4 linked regions of the Oryctolagus cuniculus genome follow. The protein of the gene in region 4 binds, or shares a complex with, the protein of the main gene of each other region. Links are inferred from orthologs where the notes say so. Each region holds a gene or a part of one and is shown on either strand. Other genes may lie near its edges.

Region 1 (4,747 bases), on a different chromosome or scaffold from region 4:
AAGCTTAAGAGGCCACGCTGAGAATCCCTTTTCCTCCACGGCACACGCACCGACACCCACGGGCATGCCCTCACTCATTCTTGGGGATTGTTTTGGCCCTGACACGCAGCCATTTTTCTGACCCAGCGAAAGACATTCACGGAATGTCCACCTGTGTCCTCCCACCCAAGGAGCCAAGGCGGGTGCCCTGTAAACTTAACGTAAGAAGCTGAGTATGAAGGGTCTCACCATCCCTGGTCACTCTTGAATTTGTAGGCAGCTGCAAGTATGTGGCACAGGGAGCCTCCTGCTTTGAAATCTAGGAAACATTTGATCTACAGAATGGAGACAGTGAGAAGCATGCGAGTTATATCATAAATTCTCTTATCACTTACTAATTCTTTCATAAAACCCCGGGTCAAACCGAGTTCCCTTGCAAAGCTAGAATTCTTCACCCCTTGTGTAACTGTAGTGGGTGCTCTGGGGTGGGGAAGGAGAACAGTACCCGCCAGCTTGTACCAAGCACTTAATACTGAGTTACCGCATTCACCCTGGCAGGAACCCCACAAGGTAGGCATGTTAATCCCATCTACACATGAAGGAACCAAGACTCACAAAGGCTGCCCAGGATCACAGGGCCCTCAAGTGGTAGAGCCAGGATCTAACACAGAAGAAACCTGTGCAAATCCAGATCTTAGGCCTTTTAACCCTGCCAGGAGAGACTGGGACGGAGCCCACAGTGCTCCGAGATAACTTGTTGCACAAAGTGTTACGAAAACAAAGGGCATGGGCATGGTAACCTGGGGACCAGGCCAGGTCAGTCACATCCTGAGCAGGGGACACAGGGGGCAGGAAAGAACCCAAATCTCAAGAATGACAAAATTCACAAATCCCTCCCACGCCAGGTGGGAGGACTCGAGGCTTCTGCACTCACCGGCAGTTTAGTGAGTGGCGCATTGCTGACATGTTTGCCAAAAACTTCTTCCTGAAATTGTAGCAACTGTACAACCAGGCTAGACAGCGACTTGTTGGTGGGTGGTTCAGCTTGGATATACTAGAGGAACGGAGAAAGCAAAGGGAAACAGACCCCGGATAAATTGTCTACCACCTCCAAATTTCTTCCCTAGGGGCTGGAAGAAGCCGGGGCAGAGAAAATAGTGCTTTTCTCCCCCACGTGTTTTCGTCCCTATAAAGAAAATGGTGGAAGGGTGGCCCTGGAAACCCCTAACCAGGAAGTTGAAATTCTGCCGCCACCAGCTGTGGCTGCCAGTGCAGGGTGTTGTGGGTGAGGGAAATTTCCAAGGACTCTTCCTTGAAATCTGAGTTGCCAGACCCTGTTATCTTGGCACCTGATCTCCAGCCAACAGCACTGAGGGCTGTAAAATCCTGAAGGTTTGTGGAGTTCAGGTTCTGGAAGCAATACCTTCCAAGCTGTAAGCAAGACAACAGCGCAGTTTTTGGGGAAACTGAGGGAGGCCACGATTCCCCGCTAATGTAGTCTAATAGGAAAAGGTGCAGAGAAGAGAAGATAGGCCGGCGGCCCAAGAGTGAACATGTGAGCTGTGCTTCTGCTAGGAACCGGGCGTCGATGTCTTCCGAGACAGGAGAGCCCACTCCTCCCCAGCTTGTGAAACATCATCTACCCTTTCCGAGGAAACCGGACCCGAGCCAGGCAGCCCTAGGCCTCCTGTGAACACTATCAGCATCCCAGCCTGCCATCCTAACTGAACTCAGAGCCAGGAGGCTAACTCTCTCTTTACCTTCTGACCCCTGTTTCCTCCACCCTAATCACAGGGCAGACAGCACTACTCAGTGGGAGGTAGAAGGAGCTCACAGAACGGGAAGGTGGATGACAAAGAGCAGGAAAGCTGAACCGGGTCACAGGCTGTCAATTCTCCCCCCAGGGCCCTAGGCCCCTAACTCATCTCCCTCCAAAAGGTCAGAGGTAAAGCCTGGGAACCAGAGCCCCACGCTGGGCTGCAGGCAAGCCACAGACTCAGCAGCTGTCAGGATTCTGACACCCAGGGAGACCCCACTCCGTGCAGGGCCACGCTCAGAACCACGGCTAGGGAGGCCCTCCTAAACCATCCATCCCACTTCTGACAGGCCACAGAGGTGTGCAGGAAGACCCCGGGTGCTGAACGCAAGCCAGGAAGAATCCTCAACTGGAGCTGAGTGAACAGGGACACGGGCAGCCCATCTCCAGGGAAGCACCAGGCCCAAGACAAAGACACCCAAGACAGGTGAGGCTTCTGGAACCTTTTTGTTGGCTACCTTAGGATTTCCGTTACAGGCTAGGGGGGTGAGGGGCTAGGGCTATAAAGCTGATCCAAGCCTCTGGACCCCAAGCCCCGGGCAGCGCCAGGCTGGGCTGTGGGGTGACTTCATTGTGAAGCCCAGGAGCTCCCGGACCCCGTCTCCCTGGGAGGTTTTGTTGCCCTTCGGATGGAGGGAGACAGGTGATCCCGGGGTGGGGACCTCTTTCGGGGCCCCGCGGCTGTTTACCCCGCTGCCTCGCTCATCTCTCTCCGGACACACACAAAGCACCGGAGAGGCCTCGGCCCCGCCGCTACCTGGCTCCGTGGGGAGCCGGGGCGGGCACGCGGGGCCGCGGGGAGGGAGCCCGCTCAGCACCCGGCCCACCCTAGGCCGGTCGTCTCCCCCCGGAAAAGCAGAGAAGGCGACGGCTCAGGGGGCGGGTGGGCTGCCGGCACCGGGGCAGCGGAGAAAAACAAGGGGCAGAGGGCGCAGCCGTGAGGGCGGGGGCTGGGATCCGCGGCCGGGGTGGGGGTGCGAGAGGCTGGGGGAGGGGCGCGGGCCCGCGGGGCGCTGTCCGGGAGGCCGCGGGGGAGGGGCCAGGGCGGCTGGAGGGTGGGCAGGACCCCGGGGGGCCGCGGGGCCGCGGGGCCTTTGTCCCGCCCCCGGACCCCGCGCGGCCCTGCCCGCGTACCTTCTTGTAGTTCTTGCCGAGCCACAGCCGCACGTTGTCGAACTGGGTCACGGTGTCCGCGGCCTCGTAGTACTTCACGTTGGGGCCGCCGTCCTTCTTCCGCACCGCCATCTTCTCGGGCTCGGGCCCCGCCGCCGCCGCCGCCACCGCCGCCCGCCCCGCTCAGCTCAGCTCCCGCCTCCTCCGCCTCCTCCTCCGCCCGCCTCCCGCCGCCTCCCGCCGCCGCGGCCGCCGCCTCCCGCCGCCTAGGCCGGCCCCGGCCCGCGCAGCGCCCCCTGCCGGCAGGCCTGGTGCGGCGGCCGCGGCGGCGGCGGAGGGCCCGGCGCTGGGCCGACTCGGGTGGCCTCCCTGACAGGGGCGGCGGCCGCCGCGGGAGCATCCGGGGAGCTGGCTGCTTCCCGGAGGGGGCGCCACTCTCCTAAAGCCGTTCTCTACCCGACGCGAAGCCCGTTCCCTCTTTCTGGCCTCTGGGCCCCGCAGTGGACCCCTTTCTCCTACCCCACCGGGACGCGCAGCCCGGAGTGCCCTCCCCTTGCGCGTTTCCAGCCCCGCCGAGGAGCCCGTGATCCCTGAGTGTCTCCCTTTCACGCATTCCCAGGAGCTCCCCTTCTCAACTCTCACCGAGTCTCCCTCAGCCTCGCGCCTCGTCCCACCCGGTAGCTCCTTCTCACTTCTTCTCCCGAGAAGCCCCCCGCCGCCGCCCTGGGGACCCAGTCCCTCCCCTCAGCGCCTCCTCCACAGGCCTCGCCATCGCCCTCCATGTAGCTTTGCGCTCCTTGAGACCCTAACACTTCTCTATAGGCAGGGGATCCTGCCTGTCCGGGTCACTCGGCCCACCCGCTCTTCTCTGAGCGACGTGGACGAGAGGTAAGGGGCGAGGGGTGGGAGGCCCGCGGTGTGCGCGCCCGGCCGGGGGCCGCTTCCGGGCGCCGCGCGCTCTCCCCGGCGCAGTGCGGACCCCTCCTGTAAGCGCGCGGCGAGGAACGGTTTTGGGAGTCACGGTGGCCGAGTGGTTAAGGCGTTGGACTCGAAATCCAATGGGGTTTCCCCGCACAGGTTCGAATCCTGTTCGTGACGGTTGCGTTTTTTCCCCCCCCTTTGCAACATGCAGAAAGGAACCCCAGCCCTCGCACGTGTCTTTCCTGCACTTCCCCTTTCTGTCTTTGGAGGGAAGCTGAAAGGGCTCACCCCCGGGCTGTGGGAGGGGGTGGGGGTGAGCTCAGAAAGCGGATTTCGGCGAGGCGCTGGCGGATTCGGCACCTCGCGCTTTGCCGGCGGAGCTTTGAGCACGCGTTTTGTTTTGTTTTGCTTTTGGGAGGAGATTAGCGAAATGTGGTAGAAGAAAGGTTTTTGTTTGGGAATGTGAGTGCCTGGCGTGCAATAAATAGCCAAACCCGGAATTTCCACGAAAAGAGCGCGCCTCTGGTGATTTTCGTCACCAGAAGTCGTAGGCTTGGCATTTCCTTGTGCTATACCTCAGGTATCCCGGGGCACAGCACAGCACAGCACAGCACACCTACCTGGAGCCAGGTGTGCGAAGAGAGCTGTCACTTTTTACTGGGTGCCCGTCATGTACCGGGTACTCTTGCAAGTCCTCCGTGTGTATTAACCGCGCTAGGAAGTCACTCTCCGACCTCTCTGCTCCCCTCACCCAGCTCTTCCCAGCCCCTCACATGACTGGGGAAGAGCTAGGGGACTCGTTGAGGATGCTCTTTATGTACTTTATTTCCTGCATAACGGCATCTTCAAGAAGGACACGATAGCGCAGGGGCGCCAAGAGCTTTCTACACATGCGCACCTTAGAGCTCACGCCCACCC
Region 2 (4,870 bases), on a different chromosome or scaffold from region 4:
ACATCGGATCAGCGCGGTGCGCCGGCCGCAGTGTGCTGGCCATGGCGGCCATTGGAGGGTGAACCAGTGGCAAAGGAAGACCTTTCTCTCTGTCTCTCTCTCTCACTGTCCACTCTGCCTGTCAAATAAAGAAAGAAAAAGAAAAAAGAAAAACAAAAAAGAAATACACGAAATCTGTTCTCTTTATATTAATAATTTTTTTAAATCATGGAATTGCTTTTTTCTCAGAAATATGGAGAGAGAGAGAGACAGACAGAGCTCCCATGCATTGATGTACTCCCCCAAATCCTTCAACAGCCAAGACTGGGCCAGGCTGAAGCCAGAAGCCAGGAACTCAATCCAGGTCTTCCACACGGGGGACAGGGATCCAAATAACTGAGTCATCACTTGCTGCCTCCCAGGGGTGCACACTAACAGGAAGCCGGAATCAGAAGCAGAGCTGCGACTTGTACCCAGGCACTCTGATGTAGGATGCAGGCATCCCAAGTGGCGTCGTAACCACTATGCCAAATGCCTGCCCCTCAATGATTGACTTAAAAAGGTGAATTTTATGTCATGTGAATTTCACCTGAGAAAGAGTAGTGCCTCAGGTTGTGAAAAGAAGAAAAGAGTGGCTGGTGCTGCGGCTCACTAGGCTAATCCTCCGCCTGTGGCGCCGGCACACCTGGTTCTAGTCCCGGTTGGGGTGCCAGTTCTGTCCCGGTTGCTCCTCTTCCAGTCCAGCTCCCTGCTGTGGCCCAGGAGTGCAGTGGAGAATGGCCCAGGTTCTAGGGCCCTGCATCCGCATGGGAGACCAGGAGGAAGCACCTGGTTCCTGGCTTCGGATCAGCGCAGTGTGCCGGCCGCAGCGGCCATTTGTGGGGTGAACCAACAGAAGGAAGACCTTTCTCCTCTCTGTCTCTCTCTCACACTGTCTAACTCTGCCTGTCCAAAAAAAAAAAAAAAAATCTAAAAAAGAAAATAAGAAAAGAGCAACCAGCAACAAACTTTGAAAGTTAAGGATGAGATCGGTGAGTAGTAACTGACTTAACAGATTTACAAATGCTGTAAGGCAGTACTGGGAAAAGCCAGGAACAACCTGTACTGAGCTTGGAACCCTGAGAGAACTAGAAATGGGCGCTGTCAGCTGGCTCTGGACGTGGGGGTGAAAGGAGAGCTAAAATCAGATTGTTTAAAGCCACTCAAGAAACAGAAAAGCGATCATGGATTCCCCAGCTCAGCCCTGATTAGCATACATAGTAACAGGAGGCTAAATAGTGAATACTGATCTTTCAGGAAGTCTAAGCCAGAACTGTACTTAAAGGTGGGGAATGAGAAGTATGTGTGATATAGGCTAGAGGAGGAGAGAGCTCAATGCTCTTTTTTCTAGTAGGAAATTCTTAGATGATGCCTAATATAGAAAACCTGCAAACAGCAATGTAAGTGTGATATTGGGAGATACGGAAAGAAATACAAAAAAAAAAAAAAAAAAGATAACAGGGAGAAAAGCAATGGCATTTGGAAAAGGGGAAATGGAAGAGGCGGCAAGAACTGCAGTGTTTCTTCTTAACATGTTTTACAAAGCAAATCGACCATATGTACTACAACTATTTTCAAGTTAAAGGATTAAAAAAGAACTGGAGAGGAGAGGGGCTTATAGAGCAGGAAGAGAAAGAGGTAGAGCAAGAGGAAGACAGGTGGCCCAAGATGACAAGGCTGGAAGGACTGTCTGAGAAAGGACAGGTAAGGGGTGGGAAGACTGTGCTGGGGCCCCAGGGCACTCACCGGGGCCTCTGACATGAGCACGGGGTGCAGGTTTGGCTCAGACTTGACGTGTTTGCTGTAGGTGTGATCCAGGATGGCTCGGAAGCACTCCCAGTCCTCAACTGGGGCCAGAAAGACACAGGTGAGGCGGGGAGGGGTCAGCGACGGGAAAGGAAGCAGGGAGAGACGCCAAGTCCAGGGGAGGGGGAGTTCAACTCCAGAGGAAAAGCCCCTTCCCCACTCCCGGGAATTTGGGGCTCCTGGGCTGGGAACCAGGCAGCTACAGGGGGCTCTGAGGAGGTCCCTGGGACTTGGACAGTTGTGAGGAGGACTCCGTGGCTGTGAGACAGAGTCCCACGGGCTGGGAGTGGGCTCCTGGTCTGACTCAGGGTCGGGGGGGGGGGCCCTTACTCATGCCGTTCTTGAGGGGCGACATGACCTCCGCTCCATCCCGAGGCACGTGCAGGGCATTGGTGTCAATGTGGAAGATCTTCCCCTTCTTCTCTTTCTCCCCCTCCAGCTCCAGCCCGCCCCCCTCCTCCGCGGCCAGCAGCCCCACCGTGGTGGGGAAGTCAGCCTGGGTGGGAGGGGGCAGCATGGGCAGAGAAAGGAAGATCACCCGGTTACCCGTTCAGCCCCAGGGCAGGGTCCTCAGCCCGCCCCTGGCTCTTCTCCCACACTTGCTCAGCAGAGCGTGTGGGCTCGGCTGGGAGAGCCCTGGGTTAGTGGCGAGCCTGGGGAGGATTTGGGAAGAGATCTGAAAGTCTCACCTTGGGACAGTCCTCCCCAGCATACCCGGCGCGGACCGAGAAGGAGCCAATGTCGAAGACCAGCGCCCCCACCTCATCTGTGCGGGGAGACAAGCAGGTGAGGAGACCTTCCCCAAACTCTGTCCTCGCGGACAGATCCGAGAGGAAGGGGGACAGGGCAGAGCCACAGTCCGAGTGGGGGCCTTGGAGTGGGGGTCAAGCCGCCAGAGTTCCCTCCTACCCGGTGGCCTTGTTCAGGCCACTCTCGGGGCTGGGAAGGACGGAGCCAGGGGTCGGGCGGAGAAGGGCTGGATAGTGGAGAGGCTGGGCCCGGCGCGCCTGGGGCGTCCCGGGAAGACAGAAAGTAGGGGTGGCACGGGACCCAAACCTGGGGTCGGACTCGCTCGAGCGCCGAGGTGACAGGCCCCGGGGTGCCCCGAGCTTGGGTGGCGCGGATACGGGGCGCAGGGCTGCGCGCGAGGCCCCGGAGGCCCGGGACCGGCTCACCTCCGCCGTAGACGCCCCCGCTCATAGTGCCCCTCGGTGCGGCTCGCGGCCCGTGGGCGGCGGCGGGATCAGCACCGCGGCGGCCGGACAGCTCCCGGGATCCCGGGCGGGCGGGGCGCGCGGCGGCCAATCGGGAGGCCGGGTCCCCCGCCCCCAACGGCTCCGGCGATTGGCTGCGAGGCGAGACAATAACCCGGCCGGGGGCCGCCGCTTTAAAGGCGCAGACACCTTCGCGCTCGGCGGCGGGGAGGACCCCAGGAAGACCAGCCCTAAGCAATGGGCGGCAGAGAGGAGAGTAGGAGAACGAGGGAGACCTTGTCCTCCCCGAGACCAGGATCCCACAGGGTGACTGATGGGGACCCTGCTGCCGTAGCTTTTCAAATGGGCTGTGGGGTGTGTTGGGGGGAGTGCCACCATCACAAGGTTTCTGTCACACCTAGGCCTGAAGGACGTCTCCCGGGAGTAGAAGGGAAGACAGAGAGGGCGCGACCCGAGGGGGTGTGTCTCCATCTCTTCCCCGTGTCTTCCCACCCTGGTCTCCCTCATGGCCTCTTTTCCTCTCCTGGGCCTTCCACCTACACACGTGCACACATGCACACACAGGCACTCAGCTGGCCTGTCCTTACCCTTCCCTCTCTGCTCAACCGCCTGTTCTCCCTGGGAGGCAATGATCACGGTGTCCAGTTTCTGGTAGGCCCTGGGTTCTTCTGGGCTCCCAGCACTACCAGCATAGCAGGTTTGGATAGCAGAAGTGAAGCAGCAGCTCTGACTGCCTGAGTCAGACTCTGAGCCTGTGCTGGCCAGTGTGGCCGTGTGTGTGTGTGTGTGCATGTACATATGCACATGTGAACATAATGTGTCGGCTGTGTGCATGTGCATATGCACACGTGAATATAATGTGTTGGGGCACTTCTGCACTCCCACCTGCTTGTTTGGGGTTTGGGAGCTGTGAGAACAGAAATGGCACAGGAAGAGGGTAGTGTGACTGCGGCATGTCCCCGAGGGTTCTCTGCTCACTGGTTGCCCCTTGTGGAAAAGACCCAGCTCTTCCCTCAACCAAAGGATGGGCTGAGCTGGCTCATTCATTACTTCCTGGTGACAGTGGCATTGCGCATACCCGCGGTGGGTTCCGAGTCCAGGTCTGGCTCCCCAGACTGGAGCCCTGCAGGTGTCAGTGGGAGGAGTGAGCTGGAGGGGAGGGAAGGAGCTGACCCAGCAGCTAGGAGATTGACATTTTCTCAAGTGACCACAGGCCAGTCACTGACTTCTCTATAATGTGAGGCCTGCATGAACTGCGTGAGCCCGCTAAGCTCCCATAGCCTGTATCTCTTCATCTTCCAAATGCTGGGGGTGGGGGTTTGAAGGGGTGAAAGAGATTCTGTTCATGCTGATCCTCTGCATGCTGTCTGCTGAACACTGAGAAATGTTGCCTCACTTCCTCCCAAGTCAGTTCCACTCCCCTTCAACCTCCATCTCCACCGGCCGTCTCAGAGTCAGGAACTTTCCCAGTCAGAAGAAACCTTACCAGTCACGAGTCCAAGCCCTGCGTTTTGCAGGGGTTGCCCCACATGGAGGCAGGGTGCTGTCTTGGCCACATAGCCCAGCGGGGGCGGAGCTGGGGGTGGAGCCACATCTCTTCTCAGCCAGTGAGATGTGACCTCTGTGTTCCCTCCAAGCTCTGCTGTCCCTGACCATAGGCTGCTGATATCCAGTCCCATGCCAGAATCAAGGACCTGGATTCTGTAAGCACTGGGCCCTAAGAATGTCCCTAGGTTTCTTTTTTTTTTTTTTTTTTAAGATTATTTATTTATTTGACAGGTAGAGTTACAGACAGTGAGAGGGAGAGACAGAGAGAAAGGTCTTCCTTCCGT
Region 3 (4,877 bases), about 120 Mb from region 4:
TTGGCTCTGGGCCTGGCTCTGCCCGGGCGGGGGCGCTGCTCGCTTGCGGGCGGGCTCCATGCCCGCGGGGGCCAGGCCGGGTCGCACGGCGGGGCTGCCCATGTACGGTGAGCCCGGGGGGCCCATGGGCGCCCCCTGGTGGGGCATCCGGGCTCCAGACGGCATCCCGGGACGCTGGGGGTGGGGCGGGGGTGAAGCAGAAACCGGCACCCGCGGGTCAGACCAGGAACCCTGGCTCCAGGCGCAGCGAGTCGGCGTCTCCCTTCCCCCCCACCCCAAGACCCCCGGCTGGTGACCCTGAGCGCCGAGCGCTGGGTGGGAGGGGCAGAGGCACCGGATCGGTGCGGCTTCGGCGGAGGGGGCTTGGCGTGTCGCTGCAGGAAGCTAACTGAAGCCAGGCAATTGTCCAGGGCATTGCCGAGCCTGGAGCTGCGGAAGGTACCGCAAAAACGCACAGTAACTGGCAATGGCGCCTTTCCACCTTCCAAAGGAGGTTCACACCCTCACGCGCCTCTGCCAGACTCAGTGAACAGGTCCTCTCATTCCCACTTGACAGACGAGGCAACTGTGGCTCAAGGAGAACGGCGACCTCGCCAAGGTCACGCAGCTCATCTTGGCTAGGACAACACCTGAAGGGCTCCGGGTTCCTGAGGGCCGCAGCGTTTTGCCGTTTGCGGCTTCGTTGAAGTTAGGGGCTGAGCTCCCTGCTCTGACTTTCCTTACGGCTCCCTCCCTCTTGGTCTCCACTCCTCCAGCTGTTCTGCCTTGCACCGGCTCCTCCTCAGCTGCCCCCTCCTCTCTCCACGCCCTGCTTTTGGACCTCTGCATCCCAAACTCCATCCCCTCCAGCTGACTCCACACCCAGAGGCTTCAGCAACTAAGCTGGACCCCAAGATTTGCTCCCCGGGTGAAGGCTGAAGGCAGAGCAAGGGCAAAGGCACCTGAGGGGCTGACGTCACAGCCTGCCAGGATTCTGATTGGGAGGAGGGGGAGCTGGGCTGGAGGTGAGCTACCAGGGGGCCTGGGCCAGGTCAAAGGAAGCAGCGTGTCCACCCGCACCCATCAGCCATCAGCCAAGGCTTCACACCCAGCAGGCTTCCTCCACTGCTCACCCCCACCCCAGTGAAGCCAGGTTTCAAAGAGGGTGGTGGAGAGGGAGATGAGGTGGGTCATGTGCCCCTAGGTGGTTGGATGGGGTGTAAATGAGATGCAAATGAGTGAAGTGCTACTGCCACTTGTCCAGAGTTCAGGAGGGATATGAGGGTTTCAGGGGCTTGTGTAGCAGCAGGGGAGTGGGTGGGATGGGGACTGGGAAAAGCAGGAATCTTGGGGAGCAAGGGGCCCCTGTTGTCATTTATCCACTCCATTATCTCACCCTAGGCCCAAGGAGACGCCCCGATGCTGCCCCTGACTTTGCCCCTAAAGCCCTCCCACTCCCAGCCAGCAGCTGTCTCTGTCCATCTTTCCAGCAGTGAAACCTGCCCGACCATGTGTCTGCCTCCCCCCACCCCACCTGACCCTGTCACTCATGCTTCCAGGGTGGCAACCCAGAATGGAGCTAGCTGGTGACCATTCTCCGCCAGCCTAGATGGGGCACTGGGAGTGGGGATGGTGGGGCGCCGAGCCACCTAAGAACTGAAGCATTAAGTTGGCCATATATATATATATATAGAGAGAGAGAGAGAGAGAGAGAGAGACCCATGTCGAGCCTCTCTCCCTGCTAGCTGGGCCTTTTCAAAGGAACTCCCCGCAGCAGCAAGGCTAGGACCGGTGATGCAGCTGGTGGACATGCAGGCCCTGGAAAGTCGACCCCAGAGATGCCCAGCGCTGGAGGCCAGGCTGACCCAGGAACCCCCTTGGCTTTATCAGCTGGGCTCCCTCTCTGTCAAGGCCAGGGATACTGCCTGCTCTGCTGGGAGGCTTCCAGGGCCCCCAGGGAGCTGTGCCAGCCACCAGCACCACCCCCACAACAGGCCAAGATTCAGGGACTCTGGCCTCCCTCACCAAGAAGGTGCCCTCCTGGGGGGTCACGGCCAAATGTGGCCGCAGTGAACCTGACGTCGTCCCCTCTCGCGTCTCCACACCCAGCGTGGCCCCCGAGCCACCCAGCTCAGGCCTCTTCCGTGCCCTGCCTCGGGTTGCTGAGGCTGCCTGGGGCTTCCCACGTGCCTCTGGGGCTGCCCTGTCCCTGGGATCCCTAGGCCTCACGTCCCCGACTCCGGCCCTTTCTTCACACCTTGGAGATATTAAGGACAGGCGTCTGCCAAGGGGACGCTCGGACTCCTTCCACCTGGAGTCTGTCCCTAGAGGGAGCCTCTCCCTGACCCTGATGGCAGGGGCTACGCCGAAAATGCCCCAGTGCCCTCCTGCCAGGATACAGAGGTTGCTCAGCCAGAGGGCTTTCGCGCCCACAGTGCCTCCAGGGTCACCTGCTCCACGCTCTGGAAACAGAGTGACACCGTCCCAACGGATGTGAACAGACAACCCAACAGGGCTGCGCCGCGTCCCCGTCCCCCGCCCCCACCCCCGGGGAAGGGGTAACACCTGGGCCCGCTGGGGAACCCAGACAACATGTCGGCCACAGAAGGGGACCCCCACCTGGGTGGGGGGAGTCCCCCAGTCCCACGCCCGCCCCTGACAAGAGCCCGCGCAGTCGCCTGCCTTCCCCGCCGCGCGCGCCCATCCCCGGCCCGCCGCCTGACGACGTGTTGGCACGCCAGGGCGCCGGCACGGTCCCGGCGCTGGGCTGTGGCCGCGGCGCCCCCGCCGGAGGGGTGGGCGCGCGGGAGCGCCCTCCCGGCCCCTCCCGGCCATCCCTCCATTCAGCCCGAGCCAGCTCGCTCACCCTCCCCCGCTAACTTTCCCCCACTCACCACCCCATGGACCAGAAACTCAAAAAGTTTGCTTTTCGTGGCTTTGCGCGCCCCTCCGGCAACTTCGTCCGCGGCCATCGGGGTGGGCTCAGCGGCGCCTCTCACTCTCTCTCTCTCTTCCTCTTTCTTTCCCTTTTCTGCCTTTTTTTTCCTCCAACTCTCCCCTCTGAGTCCTGCTGGGCTCTCTCACACTTCTACTCGAGCGGAGTGGGGAGGGGGCCCCTTCAGGGCTGCCCTGACGGCCCACGGCCCACGCCGCCGCCGCCGCCGCCCGCCCGCCGCCGCTGCCGCCGCCGCCGCCGCGGCTGCCGCATTCCTGCACTGATAAGACAGAAATAGTCCGGCGGCCCGGGGTCTGCCTGTTGACTCGGCGGGGACGGGGACGCCGGCCTTTGCAGCCCGCGCTGTCCAAACAGCGCAGATAAGCGGCGAGGTGCGCGGCGAGCCCGGCCCCGCCTGGGCGCAGGGTAGCGGCGCTTGCAGCCCGGAGCCGCCCGAGGGCCGCGCGGGGAGCTGGCGGGGGGCTCGCCGGCCACCCGGGCTCTCGCCACAAATAGCTGCTCGGTTAGGGAATTCGCCGGCAGGGCCAGGCAGGGAACAGTCAGTTCCAACTTTCTTCCCTCCCCGAGAGGCTCCGGCTGCATTTCTGAGGCCCTTTCCCCAGAGACCTGGCAGGCCAAGTAGGGAAACATTCGCGGGCAGGAATCCGGGGGGGAGCCGAGGCCGGCCGCGCCGGGTGTGCCGGGGAGGAGGCGCTCCCTGCGCGCACGGCTGTGTGTGTGTGTGTGTGTGTGTGTGTGTTGTGCCCTTGTCTGGCGGCCGGCGTCCGCACCCTGCGGCCCGGCGCGGCGGCTGCGGGTGTTGACGAGGGCGCACGGACGGACGCCTCGCCCGGGGGCCTCGCTGCGCGGGAGCCGCCAGGCCTGCGCGCGTGCGTGGGGCCGGGACGCGGCCTGCGCCGCGCTCCGCTCCGCGCGAGGCTATTTCTGGGTATGTGGGTCTTTGTTTGCCTCTGTGTGAGAAAGTGAGGGCAGGAGGGCAAGTATTTCGGAAGGAGGGACGGGGACGGGGCTCAGAGAGCGCAGCGAGGGGGAAACGCGGGGCGAGGCGGCGCAGGGCCGGGCTGGGGGCTTCGGTGGGGGCGTCTGGGAAGCAGGAGACAAGCGGGGCTTGAGGGCCTAGGGGTGCGGACCCCGGAGGGGTCGGGCCCGCCTCAGCATCCCAGAGGAAGCCGGGGCGCAGGGTGGGGTGAGAGCGAGCCCCCGAAGGGGCGGTGTGCAGGGAGCTGGCAGTCCCTGGGGTGGAGGAGAGACAGGAAAGAGGAGGGGCGAATCCTGAGATCCCCAGACTGGGCGCCCTGGCCCCGCCCATGCCCCAAGGCCACGCCCCTATCTCCTCCTCCCGGAGGAGGGGCCCGTGGGCTTTGGGACGACAGAGGGTCAAGTTTAAGGGCCTGCTGGGGCTGCGGTGTCAACACAGGTGAGGGCGGGGCAACGGGACACCTACTTGAAGTTGGGCCCTGAAGACCCAGCATTGCCCTGCGGGTCCTGGCCCTCCTGCCTTGGGGAGTTCAGGACAAAGAACGCGGGACAGCTCTGCCCAGACTCTGCCTGCAGCCTGGTTTCCCTTGGGCCCCGACTGCGTGCGGGGCTGTGAGCGCCCATGTAGGTTCCCACTGTCTACTGAAAGGCAGAGAGGGTCTCTGCTTCAGGCTCTACCTCTGGCCTGGTGGGGGGGACCCAGAAATTCCCCCTTCCTACCAGGGCTTCACCCCAGGCCACTGCCCACCACCACCCACACACAGAGAAGCCCCGGCCATGGGGTAGCTTAGTGGTCAGCCACAGGCCATGAAGTGGCTGGTGGTAATGCGTGAAGATTTGCTCCCATCAGCCCGCTAACCTCATCCCCCTCCACTCACCCCCATTTCTAAGCTCCTGTTCCTGCTCTTCTTTCTCCTGGAAGACCCCTCCCTTCTGCCTGTCCACACCCAACCCTTAAAGCACG
Region 4 (4,609 bases):
TAGAGTGTACAAAACGGTACCTACACGTTGGAAATGTCTAGGCAAATCTATAGGTCATATGTCTGTATCTTGGAAGAAGGGGGGGTGGGAACAGAACATACATTGAAATGCAAAGCAAAAAAAACTGACCAGTCTCTATCTCAAAGCTCCAAATGAGTGATGGCAAAAACAAAAAACTAGCCTTTTTGTTATTCCAGGAAGAGACAATAATTTCGCCAAAGCAAGCCTTCAGGAGAAAGTCCCTCAACATCATGAAAGACACCAGTTTCTCTTTAAGTTGCTCTCCCGAAGTCTAATTAACAAAAGAAAACTGTTAACAAGATTCAACATGTAAACAAAGAATGAGGCCAGCCTTGCTTAAAACAGAACACTTGAATCTAACATGAAATTCCCAAAGAAAGCTCCCCATTTTAAAAAGGATTACAGTGATAACCAAAAATGCCCCCTCCCCACAAAGGTCCCACATTTGCCACTCAATTAAAAAAAAACCAAACAGCAAAATAATTTCAATTCTGCAAACAGTGTCAGAATTACTCAAGATAAATGCATCTTCACAGTCATCAAAGAAGTCATTTATCCCATCAGGAAAGTCACAAAACCAAAACAAACAGCAAACCCATTGTAGAGAAGAAACTCAGCTACTGTTCGGACAACACAGAATCTATTTCAGGCTGCATAAAATATAACAAGCAAAATAAATCCAAGGTACAAGCAAAATGCCATGGCCTCCTCTTTTGTTTCAGGCACAATGTAACAAGGGCAGCCTGTCTGGGGCTCTGCTCCTGCTGATACAGTATTGCGGCTTAAACCTCCCTCCTCAAGGTCACAGCCAATTTCAGCTCTGGAATAAAAAAGGCTGATAGTGGCAGCGATGGTTTGGGTTATCACTGGCAGAAAAGCAGAGTGTAAAAGTTTATGAGCTCATCAGGATTGTTGTACCATTACATCAGAGGCAATTATAAATGGCCAAGAGCAGGAGATGGGGAGCCAATCAGATCACAGATAGGATGTCAACCTAAGACCAACTGTCTCCTGGCTTTGACAGAAGGATTTTACCTCCATAATTCAAATCCCAAACCAAAGCAATCTGCACTTACTACTCCAATCACTCAGCTGTTTACCAGCGCTTCCAGGGAGAAGCCCAGGCCACTGGGCCGGCGGAGACCAAGACAGGCGATGGCCGGGCTGCCCGGGGTGAACCGCAGCCGGCCTCTAGCTGCCCCCAAGAAGGCCCCTACCCTCCCGCGAGGTCCCCCGGGCCCGAGGGGCCCCTCCTCGAGAGCACAGACGGGGGACGGCCTAGAGACAAGCAGGGGGCACAGAGAGGAGCGGCAGGCGAGCAGGGGGACGCTCGCTCGCCTTCCGGGGCTCCTACCACCGCTTACACCCCTGATCTGAGCCCCCGGCACCCCCTCACCCCAGGCCGGGCCCTTCCCCGCACACTCTGCCCCGCACCCCCCTGAAGACCCGCGGAGTTCGCAGGGGCCAGGGGAGGGGGAGCCGGGCAGCAGACACCTCTGGAAAAGCCCCACACAAAGGCTGAAGGAGGGAAGGAGAAGAAGGCAGACAGGCAGCCATTTTAAGAGAGAAGAGCCAGACAATGGCAGCTCCCCAGCAGTGGGGGCCCGGGACCGAGCGGAGCCCACGGCTGGGGCCTGCTCCCCGCAGCCGCCACCCACCCCCCCACCGCCCGGCCCAGCTCGCCCCAGCCCCCCTCCCCGCTCAGCTGTGTACCTGAGGGGTCCGGGCGAGCGGCTGCCCCCCGCCGCCGCTGCTCCCGGGGCTCATGGGCGCGTGGTGGCTCCTTTGTTGGGCCCCTCCCGAGGCGGCCGCCGCCGCCGCCGCTGCCGCCGCCGCAGCCCCCCAGCACTGCGAGGCTATGTCCGCCGGGCCCTTGCCGGCGCCCCCGTCCTGGGGCCCGCCGCCGTAGTCGCCCCCGGGGTAGCCCTGGTAGCCCCGGGCCGAGCTGGGCGACGTGAGCAGTTGGTTGAGGGTGGGGGTGGCGGTAGGCTGGGGGGTTCCCCCGCCGGCCGCGGAGGGGCCGCCTCCCCCCATGGCCCCGAAGCGCTGCTGAGCGAAGGACGAAGACGACGAGGAGGCGGAGGCGCTGGAGGAGGGAGGCGGCTTGGAGCCGGCGGCCGCCGCCGCGCCGGAGCCCGGAGTGCCACCTCTCGGGGAGCTCAGCGCGTAGGCCTGGGGGGGCGGGGGGTAGGCGCTGCGGTTGGGGTAGTAGGAGTTGTACTGGTGGTTGGGGAAGCCGTGGTCGTGCGAGTTCTGCTGGGGCCCCGCGTAGGGCTCCAGGCCCCCGCCGCCACCGCCGCTCTGCAGCGCTGCCAGGCCAGGGCTTTGTTGTCCGCCATGTTGTTGGTGGAAGACGGCGGCCGCCGCGGCGGCGACGGCAGACGGGCTCCGGCCGTAGGGCTGCCCGAAGCCGTAGGCTGGGGGCGGCAGGGCGGCCGCGGCTGAGTGAGGAGGCGCCCCCACCCCGTCGCTGCTGCTGCCGCCGCCGCCGCCGCCGCCGCCGGGCGGCTCCGTGAGGTTATTGTTCAGGGCGGGCCTAGGGCCCGCGTTCCCGTTCGAGTTCTTCAGGTCCGGCTCCGCGCCGGGCCCGCCGCCGCTGCCGGCTCCGCCGCCGCCGCCACCCCCATTGCTCTCGGCCCCGTCCTGCAGCTCCTTTCCCAGCGGCTGCGGCGGCCCCACGGCGGGGCCCTCGCTTTCCTGCCCGGCGGCTGCCTTCATTTCCCCGCGCTCGGCTGCTGCTGCTGCCGCTGCCGCCTCGCCCCCCGCCTCCTCCCGCTGCTGCTGCTGCTGCTCGGCTTTCTTCAGCTCCGAGGGCGGCGGCGGCGGCGGCGGCGGCGGGTTGCCCAGGCTGCTGGCGGCGGCGGGGGCGACCTGCGCGGCCATGATCCCCGCTGTCTCGTCCGCGGAGAGACCCGGCCCTGTCTTCGTCGTCTCCCCCCCTCCCACCCCGCCCCGGGGCCGAGTCCCCCGGGCTGCCCTCCCCACCCGCCCGGGCGGGCCTCGCGGGGCTCCGCTGCTGCGCTGCGCTCGCTCGCTCGCTCCTCTCCCCCCCGCCCCGCCGGCTCAGGCTCCGGGCTGGCGGCGGCGGAGGAGGAGGAGGCGGCGGCGGCGGCGGCCGAGGCGCCGGCGGCTCAGCTGCTCCCGGCTCTGCAGGCTCGGGACCCGGCTCTCCCGGCTCATTCCCCCCAAGCCCTTGCCTGGGAATGAGGGGGGCGGTGGAGGCTCCGCTCCCCAGGGCCTGGCCCCGCTGTGACTCTCCGCTTTCTGCTGCCGGAGAAAGGAGGAGGGAGGGAGGGAGGGAGGCGAGGGGGAGGGGGCGGGGAGGGAGGGAGGGAGCGGGGGGAGGGGGACCCGGGACGGGCGGGCTGGAGGGCGCGCGGCAGCAGCCGGGGCGCCGGGAGGCAGAGTCGGCGCGCGCGGGCCGGGCCGGGCGCCCTGCCTCCCCTCCCCGGCCGCGGCTCCGGCCGCGGCTGCTGCGCGGCAGCGGGCGGGCGAGCAAGCGGGCGGCAGGACTGAGCGGCTAGAGCGCCCCACTCTCCTCCGAGTCCCCCTCACTCCGACACGAGGCTCAGCACTGCCATTTTACCCAGCGCCGTCGCGGCCGCCTGGCAAACCCGGAGTGGAGCGCGGAGCGGGTGCCGCCGCGGAATGGACTCGCTCCCTTCCCCTCACAAAGGAGGAGGGGAAGAGAGCGAGCCGCGGCGGCGGCAGGCCCTCGGCCGCTTTCGCTCGGCAGCACCGCCGCCGAAGGCTTCGGGGAAAACCCGGCCCGGAGCTCGCGCCCCTCCGGAGCCTGCGCCGCCTCCCTCCCGGCGTGCCGATCCCCGGCCGGTCCCCTCCCGGCCGCACCGTGGGGAGCGGGCAGCGTGAACTTTACCCGCGCCTGCAAAATTGGCCAGAGCCCGAGACCGCGGCCGCCTCGGCCCAGGCCTGACCCCCCTGGCAGCGAGCCTGGTCTCTTGGCTGTTACTTAGCACCTCCACAGCACTTTTCTTCTTGAAAGCCTTTTTACAAACCGGCCCCAAAGACTCAGCCGAGAGAGCCCTGCTTTCTAACCCCTTTGCAAGGGCCGAGCGATCATTGTTCAGACTCTGCGTTTTCCCACTCCCCTGCCCTCATTAGCTGGTCTTGACAAGTCCCCGGGGGCACGAGGTCGGGATTATCCCCATTTTACAGAATTGAAAGACCGAGAGGGGAGGACACTGCCCAGGTCATTTAACGTCGGAGGGTGGGGGGTGGGGGAGCTTTAAAAAGAAGTGGAGTCTCCAAAGCTGCCTCCTGTCTACTTAGCCTTTAAAGAAAAAAAAGTCAAATTGTGAGCAAATGCAGCAATGGGGTCAAAATATCAGAATAGATCCAAACTCCCAGCTCTGTCATCAAGCACCCGCCCAGAGTGGGGGACACAGGACATTTTTCCAGCTGGAGAACCCAAGCCCCAGGCTCACTTCCTGAGGGAACTCAGCCCACCATGACCAACAGTCTTCAAAGAGTGCCTAAGAAGACTGAACAGCCCACAGAAGAGGCTCCAGGGGCTGGCGGGATGGGAGCTCCAGCTCCAACAAGCCCCTGCAAGAGAGCGGGGCAGAGC

The links.
Region 1: ARID1A (region 4) and SMARCC2 share a complex: the UniProt entries of both Homo sapiens proteins name them as parts of the neuron-specific chromatin remodeling complex. The link is inferred for Oryctolagus cuniculus from reciprocal best matches to the Homo sapiens genes ARID1A and SMARCC2.
Region 2: ARID1A (region 4) and ACTL6B share a complex: the UniProt entries of both Homo sapiens proteins name them as parts of the neuron-specific chromatin remodeling complex. The link is inferred for Oryctolagus cuniculus from reciprocal best matches to the Homo sapiens genes ARID1A and ACTL6B.
Region 3: ARID1A (region 4) and SMARCD3 share a complex: the UniProt entries of both Homo sapiens proteins name them as parts of the neuron-specific chromatin remodeling complex. The link is inferred for Oryctolagus cuniculus from reciprocal best matches to the Homo sapiens genes ARID1A and SMARCD3.

The regions. Positions count from the first base shown.
Region 1 is NC_091442.1:58,991,778-58,996,524, forward strand, and holds the start of SMARCC2 (SWI/SNF complex subunit SMARCC2), read right to left. Parts: upstream 3,146-4,747; 5' UTR 3,041-3,145; coding exon 2,930-3,040; intron 1,034-2,929; coding exon 914-1,033; intron 315-913; coding exon 229-314; intron 1-228. UniProt on the Homo sapiens protein: Involved in transcriptional activation and repression of select genes by chromatin remodeling (alteration of DNA-nucleosome topology).
Region 2 is NC_091450.1:42,839,123-42,843,992, forward strand, and holds the start of ACTL6B (actin-like protein 6B), read right to left. Parts: upstream 3,146-4,870; 5' UTR 3,025-3,145; coding exon 3,000-3,024; intron 2,591-2,999; coding exon 2,514-2,590; intron 2,321-2,513; coding exon 2,155-2,320; intron 1,866-2,154; coding exon 1,765-1,865; intron 1-1,764. UniProt on the Homo sapiens protein: Involved in transcriptional activation and repression of select genes by chromatin remodeling (alteration of DNA-nucleosome topology).
Region 3 is NC_091438.1:22,579,387-22,584,263, reverse strand, and holds the start of SMARCD3 (SWI/SNF-related matrix-associated actin-dependent regulator of chromatin subfamily D member 3), read right to left. Parts: upstream 3,146-4,877; 5' UTR 2,952-3,145; coding exon 2,874-2,951; intron 175-2,873; coding exon 1-174. UniProt on the Homo sapiens protein: Involved in transcriptional activation and repression of select genes by chromatin remodeling (alteration of DNA-nucleosome topology).
Region 4 is NC_091438.1:144,806,780-144,811,388, forward strand, and holds the start of ARID1A (AT-rich interactive domain-containing protein 1A), read right to left. Parts: upstream 2,967-4,609; 5' UTR 2,905-2,966; coding exon 1,735-2,904; intron 1-1,734. UniProt on the Homo sapiens protein: Involved in transcriptional activation and repression of select genes by chromatin remodeling (alteration of DNA-nucleosome topology).